Astyanax mexicanus: one gene and its partner. The protein of the gene in region 2 interacts with the protein of the main gene of each other region in a biochemical or structural test. Links are inferred from orthologs where the notes say so. Each region holds a gene or a part of one and is shown on either strand. Other genes may lie near its edges.

Region 1 (7,176 bases), on a different chromosome or scaffold from region 2:
CTACAACGCAGCAGTTAGTCCTGACCTGAGCCTCTTCCCCTTCCAGCACCAGGGTCCCAGCTTTACTCCACCTCTTACAAACTACGAGGCTCCTGACGGCAAATACAGTGACATTACACGAGTGTACACTCAGTGATCAGCTGACATCACGAATTCAGAAACGTGTTACAGAACTGTTCCTCCAGTTCCCTGTTCTCACAGGGCATCTCCTGCTCTGAAATGGTTGGATCTGTGTTCAAAGACGATTTTGACGTGAACTTTAGTACTGAAAGTACTGAACTCATCTACTTCCCTTCTGTAGAGAAGAGACTATGTGAACTTGGATTCTTATGTGAATGAAATACAGTCTGTGCTCAGTCAAAATAAAAAATTTACCGGCACTATCATTACAGTCTTGTTTATTGGGGTTTCTTCTTTATAGTCAGTTGAAAATACCAGCCCTTCTGTACGTGTGTGAAGTGTTTAGACAAATATCAATAACAATGATCCAGAATAACCTTTAGCTAATAAAATGTGTTGTATTTAAGTACATTTTGCATTCTCCTCTAACTACTGGCTGGTTATATGTGGTGTTCTTAGACACGTGCCTACAGTCTGTCTACCACAGATATGGTTAAACTGTTGTATTTGTGATGAAAGTACTACTGCACCACTAGCACTGAAACACAACCCAACACTGAACTGAAATATTCTGTGCATATTTTTGTAAATAAAACTTACACACATTTAAACAGACATTGATGAGTGTTTATTTAATCAACTGCAACACATTCAGTCAGTGAGCACACACTTCTGATCATAGAGAACACAGCACTTCAAGTCTTTACACAGTAAACTTACTTTTATACATAAAAGAGTCTGTAATTAATATACATAGCCTATAATTCTAGACATTATTTTCCCTTTAATGGAAAATCTCCATTCAAAATGCTGTGTGTCCAAGATTATATAACTGATAGATTTATTTACATGCACTTCATAATCTGATTACTGCAGATCTTACCGAGATATATAGATACCTTATTGATCCTGAAGGAAATTTAGATCTTTAGAGTTTGTCAGTGATCAGATCAACACAATTACATGAACTTGGCTATTCAGATGATGGGAATCGGGCATGAATCAGATTTTTGCTTTGTTAAATATGTGAATAGGTATCAGAATCAGAACAAAACTGGGGCAAAACTGGACACAGTCTATCAGTGAGGGAAAAGCATTGGTCTGGAAATCTTAGGTTTTAGACACACAGCAGGTAAATGAAGCCCAAATACAACCTTTTACGTCATATGTGACACAGGTGTGCTGTTTGTGTGGCAGTGTAATTAATGCAACGTTTACGTCACAAACAGGGAAAGAAGGGAGTGAGTAGATGGGAAAATGGAAAAAGCAGTGAGATGAGCCCTTCAGTAGTGGAAGAACGAAGTAAAAACATCTGAAATATTTAGACTGATGACTCTGTTCCCATAAAAATTAGAAGGCTTGTGCTAACAGGCTGGCCGAATGTGGCTACAGATTGCAGCTGTAACATCAGAAAAACTGACAAAACCGAAATAACCGAATAACAGGGCATTTTTACAGAAAACAGGATAAAATTCTCTGTGATAAGCTCAGATGCAGCCTAATCCCCTTCAAAACTCTTGAGATTAATGTGAAAATAAATTTGAAGCAATGCTTTTTTTGTACATGTGCATCAGCAACACATCACAAACCATTCAGACAGAAGTCTGATATGAGTTGCATTAAAATCACAGTGTGAACAGACAAAAAAACAGATTTGTTTTGTTTTTTGTTGTAAATGATTCTGGTGAACACGTGATGGATGAGGACGATGTGTGTATATCGGCAATTTAAAGCTATAAAAGTTCTCGGTTCTTCTCGATGTTTTGACGTTTTTTTTTTATTTGTGACAGAAACAGAGAGACAGTACAGTTAATTTGTGCTCTTAAGACTCCTCTGGGTTGTCCTGATTTAGAGGCGTGTGCCAGTCAGATGGTGGTTTATCTCTCATCTTCCAAACTGGAGTGAAGTTCCTCTGCTCAGACACTCGACTACTCTCACTTTTCTGGAGACACTCCTGAACAAACAGAAGAGGAGAGGATAAGCTGCACAGAAACAGCACTGAAGAAATACACAGTATATGCACTAAAGTGTGCACAGATATGGTCTCATGCACACCTTGCACTGCAGGAATCATGAGACTGACCTTGGCGTGTGCGCTCTGTGTCTTCTCCCACTCCCTGCACGCCTCATAGTCCTCTTTCCACTGCTGGCACATCGGTGTTGTTCCATAGGTGTAGTAGTGATGGAACCGGTGCCGTAAACTCTTACAGTGCCTGAATTCACTCCAGTAGGTATCACACAATCGTGGTGGCTGAGATCAGGCACAAGAAACATTAAAATAGTTATAAAGAGCATGATTTAATTTAAATTTACTGCTGAAGTAAATGCATGATTAAAATAGCAATACTGCACTTAATGCATGATCAGAACAGCACTGCTAAGGTACATTTTATGATTACAATAGCACTCCTAAAGTAAATTCATGATTAGAATAACACTAATGATGTACATGCATTGTGCTGTGTTGGTTTGTATGATGGGATATAAAAATGTTTAAGTGCTAAATAAATATTTTAAATAAAAAAAAGGTATTTATAAAGAAAAGCAGTGCTCATGCAGAAGCCATGCAAAAAATTGTTATTTTTACAACAAACAAAGGAAGTTAAAAAAGGAAAAAAGTTATCTGGATTTCTGCATAGATTACTTATAAAATATGACATCTGATAAATCTGACATATGATGATCTAACATAACATTATTACCACCTACTTTTTTCTATACCCATTGTCTATTTTTTCAGGTTCAATGAGCATATATTAGCACTTAGCACTGCCAGTTCTATCATTACACAGCTTTCCTGTATCGGTTTCTCTGCATACTTCATTATCCTCCTTTAACTCTGTTCAATGATAAAGACCCCACAGGACCACCACAGGGCAAGTATTATTTGTGTGGTGGATCATGAAGTGATGCTGACATGGTGATGGTGGGTTTGGGTGTGTTGTTCTGGTACACTGGAGTAGTCGCCCAACAAAGATCACTCTGAGAGCAGGGCATGTAACAGTCGGCCAGGTCACAAAAATGGACCTCAGGGTATCTTCTAAGCAACTGAAGGCCTCTCTCACAATGGCTAATGTTAATGTTTATCAGTTTTCCATCAGGAGAACACTGAACAACAATGGTGTGCATGGCAGGTTTCTTAAAAGAAATTCACTGCTCTCCAAAAAGAACATTGTTAAGATCACATAGACAAAACAAGAAAAATCTATTGTAAGAATTGATGATAGCATTGATGGAACAGGGAGCACTGAATTACATCAGAAAATTCTAGGGGGAAATGTCAGGACTGTCTACAAACTCAGTCTCAAGAAAAGGTGGGTCATGTAACAAGACAACGACCCTAAGCAACACAAGTTGTTCTAACAAAGAACGACTAAAAAATATTAAAGTATTTAATTTGCCTCAATAAATAAATGACCTAATGAAGGTTAGGAAATGTTATAATAATTTTAAGCAGGACTGGTATGTTTAATCACTTCAAAGGGATTTATTTCAGCTATTAATGGAAAATAAACATGGTTTATGGATTAGTACCTCTTTAAATAAGCAGGTTAAATGATAAAATCTGCTTCAGCACTGGAAGATTACTGATCTGCCTAGTCTCTAAATCAGCTTCAGAGCTAACGATAAGGAAACACACGTCGAAACAAGATATAAACACATCACAAACAACATCACAGACATATTTATACAACCTGTTCTCTATATTAACACTAAAAGTAAAACAGGCACATATTTACCCTCCACGATTCTCTTGACCCTGCCATACTCCACACTCCCTGCACTCCGGCTGCAGCACAGCGCTCCCTGCTGTCCTCCACTAACCAACTACTTCCCGCGCCTTTCACCATTATCACTATTATCACCACTACTCTTTTAATAACCGAGCACAATAAAAGTGTTTAATTTAGCTAATAACTCACTATAGCTATCAAAAGGATCTCACTGATTAATAGACAGCGAATTACAACATATTTATATATATCAGGTTTGTCACGTAGTTAGTAGTAGTCGTGGGACTTTTAATTTATCGCTCACAGGAAGCGGAAATTAGCGTGTTGTGTTTCTAAAAGTCCCACAGTCCAAATCTGCCGCTTGGTAGAATATTAGCTAAACTAAACTAGGCTAAGCTAAGCTTTATGTTTAAAGTTTTACCGAAATGGCAGCAGATAGTTTAAGGTGGGACACGCTGGAGGCTTTAAAAAACTCTTCGAAGGGTAAACTCAAATACAGCCCAGACTGGCTGGAGAAAGGGGAGGTAAGAGCCGCTAAATTAATCTAATCTTACTGATTAATCTGTATTAATCTGAGTTTTCGATAGCTGGGATAGTTAGATTAGTCTGTTGGCCGAAAATTCTGCTAATTTATCTCACAGACTTTAATCTGGAGTGAAGAATAACCACAGCTATAATAGTAACATCCCGCCATCAACAATATAAAATCAAAAAGTGAATTGCTATCTCATTGCTTTGAGATACTAAGTCATTTTTGTGAGATGCTGTTTCATTATTTTGAAATAGTAATTATCATTATTTGGAGGGACTATTATTATTTTGAGATACTAAATAATTTTTTTACTAATACTTTTTTTTCTATGTTGATTCTCAGATATAAAGTCATTATTTTGAGATACTAAGTCTAATTTTGGGATATTATCTCATTTTAAAAATACTAAGTCGTTACTTGGAGAGATCTTTGAGATCTCATTGTTTAGAGAAGTCTTTATTCTGAGATACATATTCCACACCATATTCTCAGTTGATTCTAAGATTTAAAGTCATTATTGTAAAATATTAAGTTGTTATTTGGAGGGACTGTCTCATTATTTTGAGATAGTAAGGCATTATGTGTAGATTATATCTCATTAGTTTGATGCTACCCCATTATTTAAAGATATCAGGTTGTTATTTTGAGATACTAAGTCTTTATTTTTGGATACTATCTTATGATCTATTGTTATTTTGAGATGCTATCTCATTATTTTGAGATACTAAGTCATTGTTTGGGGATGATAGTTTGCAAAGGCTTCACTGGAGAAAAGTAAAAACAGATGTAGTTTCATTCCAAAAACCAAAAAACTAGTGGTCATATCCTAAAATAGGTAAATTCGCTGCTTGTTACGTCCATTTCCTTGATCATTTATGTATGTTTCTCTTCATCTCTCATCTTCAGGATATTCTCGCAGGCTGTAAAGAGGTTACCAGCCTCTCGCCTCTATCAGGTGCTATTCTGAAGAGACTGAGCCCTCGACCTCTGCTCAAAAACTGTTCACTGGGTTCTCCCATCCGTGATACGAGTCTTTCCACCTCTGAAGATGTTCCTTTGTGCAGTTCAGCTCCCATCAGTCCACACCACACCCTCACCTCTCCGTTATCACCTGCCACCTCGCCTCCGCTGGCCTCTATTGAAAGTGAAGAGAAGGTATAATGTTTATTTTTATTTTTTTGATGACATGACACTATAATACATAGCGGAACAGTGTACTTTATTTGCATTATTATTTTTTGCATTATTCCGTACTTTCTCAGCTTTTTTCTGTAATGGAATTGTACTTCATTCTTGTGCTTTTTTATCTTATGCTGTTGTTTTATTGTGCTCTAGGTAAATGAGGATAAACTGGAAAATTCACACTCCACAGTGGACCTCAGCCCTGTTCCCTGCAGCACTCCACCACCAGCAATCTCCCTCCTTTCTCCCAGAGCCTCTCAGATGGCAGGGTGTATTCGTATCTGTGAGGAAAAACATCGATCTAAAGCCAAGGTAAAGTGTACATTCAAAATTACATATAGTATAAAAATACATATAGTGTACAAAAACACAAAAAATACAAAATAAAAAGTCTATACACATTACATTATACTAGACATAAATGTACAATGTATGAGGCTCGAGTTTTCCTGGACCCTAAATATTAATGCTTAATTAATCTAGTCAATAACTTATATGAACATATATGTGCGTACGTTTGACCTGCAGAAGAGAAGATACTGAATAAAAAGCTCAAAACTAAGTGTAAGCTGCTACCTGACAGAAATTTCTCCTTGCCAAAGAAATTTGTCCTACATAACATGTCATCAATATTATAGTGATTAACAACAATTGTAGAATATTGTTGTTCTGTGATATATATTGCGTTATTAAAAAAGACCAGAAGTCAGTGATCCAACTTATCATAATATTAATAATGCAATATATGCATCAATGATTGATTGTACAATTAATACAATTAATGGTATTAGGTATTTGATATAATAATAAAATCTTGTAGCTTTTGTCATGTAAAATTTTTCTTTGTATTAAGCAGCAAAAATGTTAAAAAAATTATACTGACTTGTGCTGGAAAGAAGAACAAAAACATATATAATTACTAATGCACTACACTAAAGAATACTGTCATTAACACCTTATTTATGTCATATTTCATAATATATTCACAAAATTGACATGTACTGTGGTTGCATGTCTGTTCCATAATAACGATGAACTGTGGTGAACTGATTGTGGCTGACAGGCGGAGTTGAGTCTGAGGCAGGAGCTGCAGGAGAGGCTGGTAGCTACTGTGGCCAGCCGTGAGTCTGAGCAGCTGAAACGCTTTGAGGAGTTTATGGAGCTCAAACAGAGGCAGGAGTATCAGAGCGTGAGGGACATGGTGGAAAAAGAGTGAGTACTAGAAGCACAGTGTGTGATGCTGTGATGAACTGAGGTTTAGTCATGTTTTCTGTACTCATCTAAGTGTTTAGCCTTAAAATGTTGATGCAAAAAATATTTTGCTTTTATCCCACAACTAATAAATATGTTGTGTTATCTGTCTTCTAAAAGCACGCAGGAAACCCTCGGCCGACAAGAGAAACTGAAGGAGGAGCACAGACATAGAATGAAGGTAGGAATCAAAAAACACACACCTGTAACAAACACACAAACTTTAGTGCGGACTCTGATTCAGACTTATGTGAAATCGCCCCAAGATTGCAGCTTTAAGATTCTTGCATCTTGATGCATGAATTAATTTTTGCACCCCTAATATTAACCTGTATTTGCTCGATCAGATCCTGAACC
Region 2 (7,510 bases):
ATCAAATTATTTGTCTTTGTCTTTGCAACTCATTCTTTCTTAACAGCAAAATCCAGAAGTATTCTCCAACGGAGTCAGCGAAGGTGTATGACAAGGCAGTAAACAGGAAAAACAACGTGCATTTCAACCCACGGCAGACGCTAGAGTTCCTGGCCAACGGCCTTTCAAATGCCGAGCTCACAGACGACATCAAGAGGAAGATTGTCAAGCAATACTTGGACGTAAGTATATCCTAAAAGTTCCTCCCCACCCCTCTACCACACACCAAACTCTACCACACACCAGGTGTAGTTGAGAGATTTATGAATTCTCCGCTGTCACCATTTATCAAAATGTTAGTTTTGATGAATGTAAAGTTAGTACAGGTTTGTATTCAGATATACAGATTTTTTTAAATTTTATTTCCCCAACTGCCTTTTTTGATCTTAGCTTTTATTTTGCTGAACTCAACATGTCTCACCTCCCAAAGCCAGCTACACTGTAAAGGTACACATTTTGGATGAGACCAATGAATATATCTATGCAACGTTGTCCACATTTGAGCCAGTCATGTCAAACTAATCAGAAGTTTTCTACAGATGTTTAACTTTTGGATTGACTTCAGTAAATATTTGCCATGTTCTCCTCTGAATGATATTAAATATTAAATTGATCTGTTGATTCACGTGACTCATGTCATGTATTTTTTTTCTTTACAGTTTAAGGTACTGATGGAGCACTTGGACCCTGATGAGGAGGATGAGGAAGGCGAGGCGTCAGCCAGCACCCACGCCAGAAACAAAGCCATCACTGCTCTTCTGGGAGGCTCCAGCCCGAAGAACAACGCTGCTGACTCTTACGATGAAGAAAGCGACGGAGAAGAGAAAGCACCTGGAGTAAGTTGATACTGCTTTTATTATTCTTATGATAACTATTATGATTAAATCAGTGCCCCAGTGATTTTTTTTTTTTTTCATTTTTTTCAAGCCATACCTTTTATAATTAGTAACTGTTTAGAGGAGGACGGGAGATTTTTATTTCTTTCTTTTTTTTCTTGCCACTGTGGCCCTTTGGCTGTTGATGTTTTTCTTATTACCAGATTTGTGTTAATCTGCTTTGCATTGACGCAGGTTAGGAAATGTGCTCTACAAAAAAGTATTATTTGATTAATTTGATACTATAATTTTTTTTACTCTTATTTGCTTTAGAAATAAGTGCTTTTTCCGCTTTGAATAACTTTATCCAGTAAAATCTTTTATGTATGTTTTTATAATTATTTTTTTCCTTCATTTCCTTCTCCAGGCATCACGGCGATCCAGGAGAGGCGGCGACTCTGCAGACGCATCAGGTCATTTGAACGAGACGGTAGAAGCCATGGACGTCATCGCTATCTGCTGCCCCAAGTACAAGGACCGGCCGCAGATAGCGCGCGTCATCCAGAAGACGAGCAACGGTTACAGCGTGCACTGGATGGCCGGCTCCTACTCCGGCACTTGGGCAGAGGCCAAGAAACGAGACGGACGCAAACTGGTGCCTTGGGTGGACACTATCAAGGAGTCGGACATCATTTACAAGAAAATCGCCTTGACGAGTGCTCACAAGCTGACTAACAAAATGGTGCAGACTTTACGATCACTGTACGCAGCCAAGGAGGGGACTTCCAGCTAATTAATTAACTACAGTTACTCCTACATGAACTCTCAGCAGCCAAACTTTATTGGGATCCAACATTTTCTAAACCCAGACAGTAAGGCAAGAATACTACAGACTCACAGAAACCTTGAGATCCACTGTCACGAAGATGGAAACAGTATGAGAGAGGGAGGAGGGGCGGGGATAGCATTTTAACACGAGGACCTGCAGCAGAAGATACCGGACCCGTTAAAGTTAAGTTAAACAGGACAGAAACATTCAGAAGGAAATGTTTGGAAAACATTGTGTGGGAGCTCCTTCGCTGTTGTGCAGCAACTTGGTCGTGTGATTTTTACTCCCACTGTATCATAGTTTAACATAAAAAACAACAAACGAAAACAAAAATGTTTATATCTGACGAAAAAATCTGTTTAAAAAAATAAACTTAAAGTGAATGTTGGAAATTAGTCTGTTGATGTTCTTAATAAAGTGTTCTTGGAGTTAAACCTAGCACCGGATGGATTTCTTTAGCTTAGCTCAGTGTCCAGGGAAAAAAACTTTTAAATATTTCCTCTGCTTTATGTTTTACTCCTTTTTTTTTGTTTACTCATGCTGTACAATGGAGTCTCCTGGACATAATTTATTCTGTTAAAAGCAGAGCATGCAGTATCTGTGGCCTACATGCAGGGGGAGATTTTTTTGTAAATGTAGATTTTGATGTATTAGGTCACCCTAGAGAGAAAAAAGGGATCCCCAGCACTTCTGGCGGAACAAATACTGCAATAAATTTTTTTACTTCTCTTTGTTACTTGTCTTGTTTGCATTTGACTTTTATTATCATTATTATTTTTTTTAGCACTAGCAGTTGTAAGACGATCTGAGTCTCCCTTTTTCTGAAAAGTGAAGCTGCTTTATTAGTGTTTAGTGATTCAATTGTATTGTTTTTTTTCTAATGATAGGAGAGAAGTTTGCCGTAATCAAATCCCTATAACCCCACTTTTAATTTTACAGAAAAGTTCTCACTGTATACAGAGTAAAGTTCTCACTTTCTGATGAGCTACATAACGATCTTCTTGTGTCTACCACCACCAGGATGGACTGCTGGTCTTCACTTTCATATAATTACAGTTACTACTGAAGGGCTTAATGTGTACAGTGTTATTCTTCTTCCTGTCCTACATTGATGTATGGAGGAGTTAAGGAATATATTCATGAAACTTTCACTTTCTTAACAGGATGGAAGGTGACTGCTCACAAGGAGATCCAAAAATCACTCTCTTATTTACTGTGAACGTAGCAACGAGAAAAGATCCAATATCAGAGCTACAAATATGGTCATTTGCAGGTTGCAGGAAACAAGGATGTGGCAGTGTGCTCTAATGGTTTATAATTTGAATATCTCAGAATAAGACCCTGTGTAGGATGCTGCTCAGTTTATGGGAAAAACCTTTACTGTGTAAATTATTTAATTAAAATGATTCTGGTGATTTTTTTAATAGCTAAAATCAAAATGAATACTAAATGGCACTGGTGGGTGTTGTGGCACAATGGATAACACCACTGTCTGCAAGTGACCTATCAAACTATGTGGGATACTGGGTTCAACATCAGGTCTGAGTGACTGTGCTGCACTACAATAAGTAGTGGTTCTGCAGTTAGAGGGTTGTGTTGCCACTATCCCCATCTTCTCCACTGGTATTGTAGCATGGTTGACCCTGAGGTCTGACCCCAGCTTTTTTTGGGATATGTGGACACTGTGTAACACTGTACAGGTGTATAAGTATAATGACAAAAATAAAAGCAGTAGCTATTTACAGATATTTTGTAGGCCACATTTGTATTAAAGTTGTAATCCAAATATGAAAGTTACTGGAGAGTTTGAGCACTGGACAGCAGACCATGAATATTCACTGTAGGCTACAGAAACAAGTTCTGATGCAGTTCTCAGAGTGTGATATACTTTCAATAACTAAACACTGTGATCAAAGCTTCTGGTCACAGACCTGTTTAAGCAAATGTCATGGTTTGGACATGCAATGTAATCTTGGGCCTGACGAGAAGATGTGTTCATTTTGTGCCAGTGTTAATGAAATGTGAGTTAACTGAGGATAAAATATAAATGGAAAATGGGACTAAAAAAAATTGTGTGGAACTGATATATACACACTTTATTGCCAAAAGTATTCACTCACTTGTCTTGCATTTGGTGATGTGAGGCTTGGAGCTGCTTGTTCATGGAAACCTATTCCACAAAGCTCTCTACAGTCTACTGTTCTTGAACTAACCTGAAGGCCACATGAAGTTTGGGTTTCTGTAGTGATTAACTGCACAGGATAAGTTAATCAAAATAACCAGCCTCAGAAACCACAAGTTAACATCTCCCCAGATAAGAGCATCCATCCATCCATCCATATATGCAAAAAATAATAATAAAAAAAAACAAAATGAAAATAAATATATTGTATTTTAATATTTAAATATCTCATATAGTTTATAAATATTTGAGAGCCCCTTCATATAAATATGTATATGCTTGTGCATTTTTTGTTTTTAGAACCTATTTTTAATTTGTTTTGTAAATATATATTAAGCAAATAAAAATATGTTTTAAAAAAACATTTTTATTGCATATGCATATACATATTTAAATAAAAGGGCTATTTAAAAAATATTTGAGACATTAAAATATAAAAAAAAATTAAGATATAAATACACAATTCCTTTTTATTACATTTTGTGTCTGCATATCTCTAATTTTCATCATAAAAGAGCCCAAACTGAAGAAAAAGTTCGAGCTACTTTTATTATGAAGAGCGAATGTGTGGTAAATGTTTGAGCCGGAAATACAATTCCCAGTGATCAGGGCGCTGAGGAGCGCACGAGCTTGGCGGGAGAGTGTGAGTCTCGAGGAGGCGAGTGGATTTAAAAAGCGCGTTCTTTGTAAAAACCGTTACAGCGCGAGAGAGGCGGAGCGCGCGGGCTGATAAACCGTACGGTAACAGGAATAAACCCGGTTTTTATTTTGCGTAGCTAAGTGTATTTATGGCTGTTTAGCATTAAGCTAAGTACTATGCTAACCAGGCTAAGCTAACCGGCTATTGACTTCTGTAGCTAAATCAGCCTAACAAACAGTAACAGCTAACTTAGATGGAAAGAGGTCTGGCTAAAGCTAAGCTAGCCAACATAGTTAGCTTAACAAACTTACTAAAATGAGGATAGGAAATATGTAATAAAATCTCTCTTAATATATATCAAAATTAACCTATAAGCAGAGATACTGCAGAATAAATGCAAAATGTGTTCCTACGTGCTAGCTAGTTAACTACTGTCTTAGTAAGCTACGTTAACTTGTATACTGTCTAATGTGACTGATATTTATTTTACTCTAAACTAGCGAACCTAGTTAGCACACCTAATATCACTAGTTGTTAAGTTATAGCTAACGTATCCATGTTAACGAACTAGTTAGCTAGTGTAGTATTATTGTTGTTATTATTAGCTCAGATCCTCTTCTGAATATTAAGATAAGATTAGATGATACTTTATTACTGTGTGGAAATTCATTGTCACAGAAGCATAGCTAGACACTTAGTAAAAAAAAAAAGATAAAATATACAGTACAATATATATAATAATATTTATATATACAATACAATACACCATATTCAATATTTTGCAATATATGATTGATTGTATTTACAAATAATTGCACATTGCCTCTTAGTTGCCCAGGGGTTATGGAAAATATTTCACATTATGTTACACTGAACAAATTCTTGATATTAATACCAAATTTAAAACTTACTGATAAATTCAGTGAGCAGCCCATTCTTGTTTTTTCTCTTATTGTGTGCATATGCATGCAAATACTTTAGAGCTAAAATTCTGATGTTTCACAAAAAATATTTCATAACGTGTATTTTAGTCTCTTATGAGACCACGTTAAGCTAATAGGTGTGTTGGTGATCATGAAAAATGCTTTTTCGTAGGCTTATTTCAGAACTGCAGCTATGCCGTCGAGCCTGGGCCCCAGCAGCATGGCAGCGGCTCAGCAAGAAGCTCTAGAAAACTCTGGCAGGCTCATTGATCGACATCTGCAGGAAGACCGCTGCTTTCCAGACCTGTCAGAGCTGCTCAATGTCCCCTCACACAGTAAGAACACACTTGGCTGTCAGTGACACATGTATTATGTACACAGTATAACTGACTCTGACCACATTTTGTTTATATCTCTCTATCAGATATGCCCTCTCTGTCTGGGGTATCAGACATGGATTACCCACTACAAGGACCAGGACTCATCAGTGTGCCCAACCTGCCAGAGCTGAGTGCTGTGCGTAGAGTCCCTCTGCCTCCAGAGCTTGTGGAACAGTTTAGCCGTATCCTCTCAGTTAAAATCTGCATTTGAAATTAAGTATGGTGGACCTAATATGAGAGAACGTATTTAAATGTGTTCATAGCATGTTGCTATAATAATTCTAATATCTGATTGGTTGAGGGATGTTTAAGTAATTGTGAAATAATTATATCTAGCAGTGTTGACATACCTTAATCCTGAAACTTCAGACATGCAGTGCAATTGCATGATGGGAGTTTTCCCTGAGATCAGCAGAGCATGGCTGACTATTGATAATGACCTATTCATGTGGAATTATGAGGATGGGTGAGTATTGCAATTGGAGTAAAAATGTATCATGTTTATAGACCTGCTTAGTGCCAGCTTTAATTTCTGATTTATTTTCTTGTTTTGTTTAGAGGAGATGTGGCATATTTTGATGGGTTGAGTGAAACTATCCTTTCAGTTGGACTAGTAAAGCCAAAGGAAGGTGAGTGGATGACACACAAGTGATCAAAGAAGGCTTTAAATAATGAAACTATTAATAAAAGACAAATTATGTTAAGATGTCTGACTGTTTTCTCACTACTTTCTTGACTAGCATTGTTGTGCAGAAATGATTTCATATATCAAATTTTAAGGGAACGTGATAACATGTCATCCCAAATTATTTAATTTTATTTAATACAATTTTAAATTAAATAGGAACAGCTATTTCTGTGTTTAATTTTTTTGTAGATTGTCTAAATATTTCTCATTTATATACTGATACCCATTTTTTCCTCACACAGGAATTTTCCAGCCTCACATTCACTTCTTGTTAGTGTTGGCCACACCAGTGGATGTTGTGATCCTGGGTTTGAGCTTTCCTAAAGCTCACACAGGTGAGTCTTTCTTGTACTTTTCTAATAATTAATATGTCCTACTACCAATCACACCAAGTCACATAAACCCTAAACCTATGAGAGCAGTCAAGCTAAAAGCACCTGGTTTTAAAAGGACAAATGTTCTGAATGTCTCTTTCTCAGGGTTAAATGATAGTATGTCTGGAGCCATGCAGCTCCTGCCCGACCCGCTCTACTCCATCCCCACGGATAACACCTACATGCTGGCGATCACCTCCACCGATCTCGGACGCATCTTTCTGGCTGGGAAGGATGGCTGCCTGTATGAGATTGCTTACCAGGCTGAAGCTGGCTGGTTCAGCCAGCGCTGCAGGAAAATCAACCACTCCAAGAGCAGCCTGTCTTTCCTTATACCATCTCTGCTGCAGTTCTCCTTTTCTGAAGATGGTAAGAACATTGCTGCACATAGACATGAACTTTGTAAAGGTGTTTGTAATGCCTGTTTATAATTTTTCTTTGTTTTGTCTTTGTCACAGATCCGGTTGTTCAGATTGCTATTGACAATTCCCGCAACACTCTGTACACAAGGTCTGAGAAGGGTGTGCTGCAGGTCAGTGTGTTCATTTTCTTTTCTTTTAAATGTATATTATTAAGTTGCTTCTGGTCATTGTGTTTCTAATCATCAGTTCTGCCTCTTTATAGGTTTACGACTTGGGTG

The links.
Region 1: the proteins of nup155 (region 2) and gle1 form a complex in vitro, tested with the Homo sapiens proteins (2 studies listed by BioGRID). The link is inferred for Astyanax mexicanus from reciprocal best matches to the Homo sapiens genes NUP155 and GLE1.

Annotation. Positions count from the first base shown.
Region 1 is NC_064419.1:290,432-297,607, forward strand, and holds the start of gle1 (mRNA export factor GLE1), read left to right. Parts: upstream 1-4,166; 5' UTR 4,167-4,279; coding exon 4,280-4,378; intron 4,379-5,292; coding exon 5,293-5,541; intron 5,542-5,721; coding exon 5,722-5,880; intron 5,881-6,631; coding exon 6,632-6,780; intron 6,781-6,939; coding exon 6,940-7,000; intron 7,001-7,166; coding exon 7,167-7,176. Other genes in the region: mrpl40 (39S ribosomal protein L40, mitochondrial), read left to right, coding at 1-136; c12h22orf39 (UPF0545 protein C22orf39 homolog), read right to left, coding at 1,943-2,074, 2,204-2,371, 3,861-3,971. UniProt on the Homo sapiens protein: Required for the export of mRNAs containing poly(A) tails from the nucleus into the cytoplasm. May be involved in the terminal step of the mRNA transport through the nuclear pore complex (NPC).
Region 2 is NC_064427.1:4,555,570-4,563,079, reverse strand, and holds the start of nup155 (nuclear pore complex protein Nup155), read left to right. Parts: upstream 1-4,462; 5' UTR 4,463-4,523; exon of another isoform or gene 4,524-4,606; intron 4,607-5,600; 5' UTR 5,601-5,621; coding exon 5,622-5,763; intron 5,764-5,852; coding exon 5,853-5,990; intron 5,991-6,177; coding exon 6,178-6,274; intron 6,275-6,366; coding exon 6,367-6,437; intron 6,438-6,738; coding exon 6,739-6,831; intron 6,832-6,975; coding exon 6,976-7,239; intron 7,240-7,328; coding exon 7,329-7,402; intron 7,403-7,494; coding exon 7,495-7,510. Other genes in the region: nipblb (nipped-B-like protein B), read left to right, coding at 47-221, 699-875, 1,282-1,647.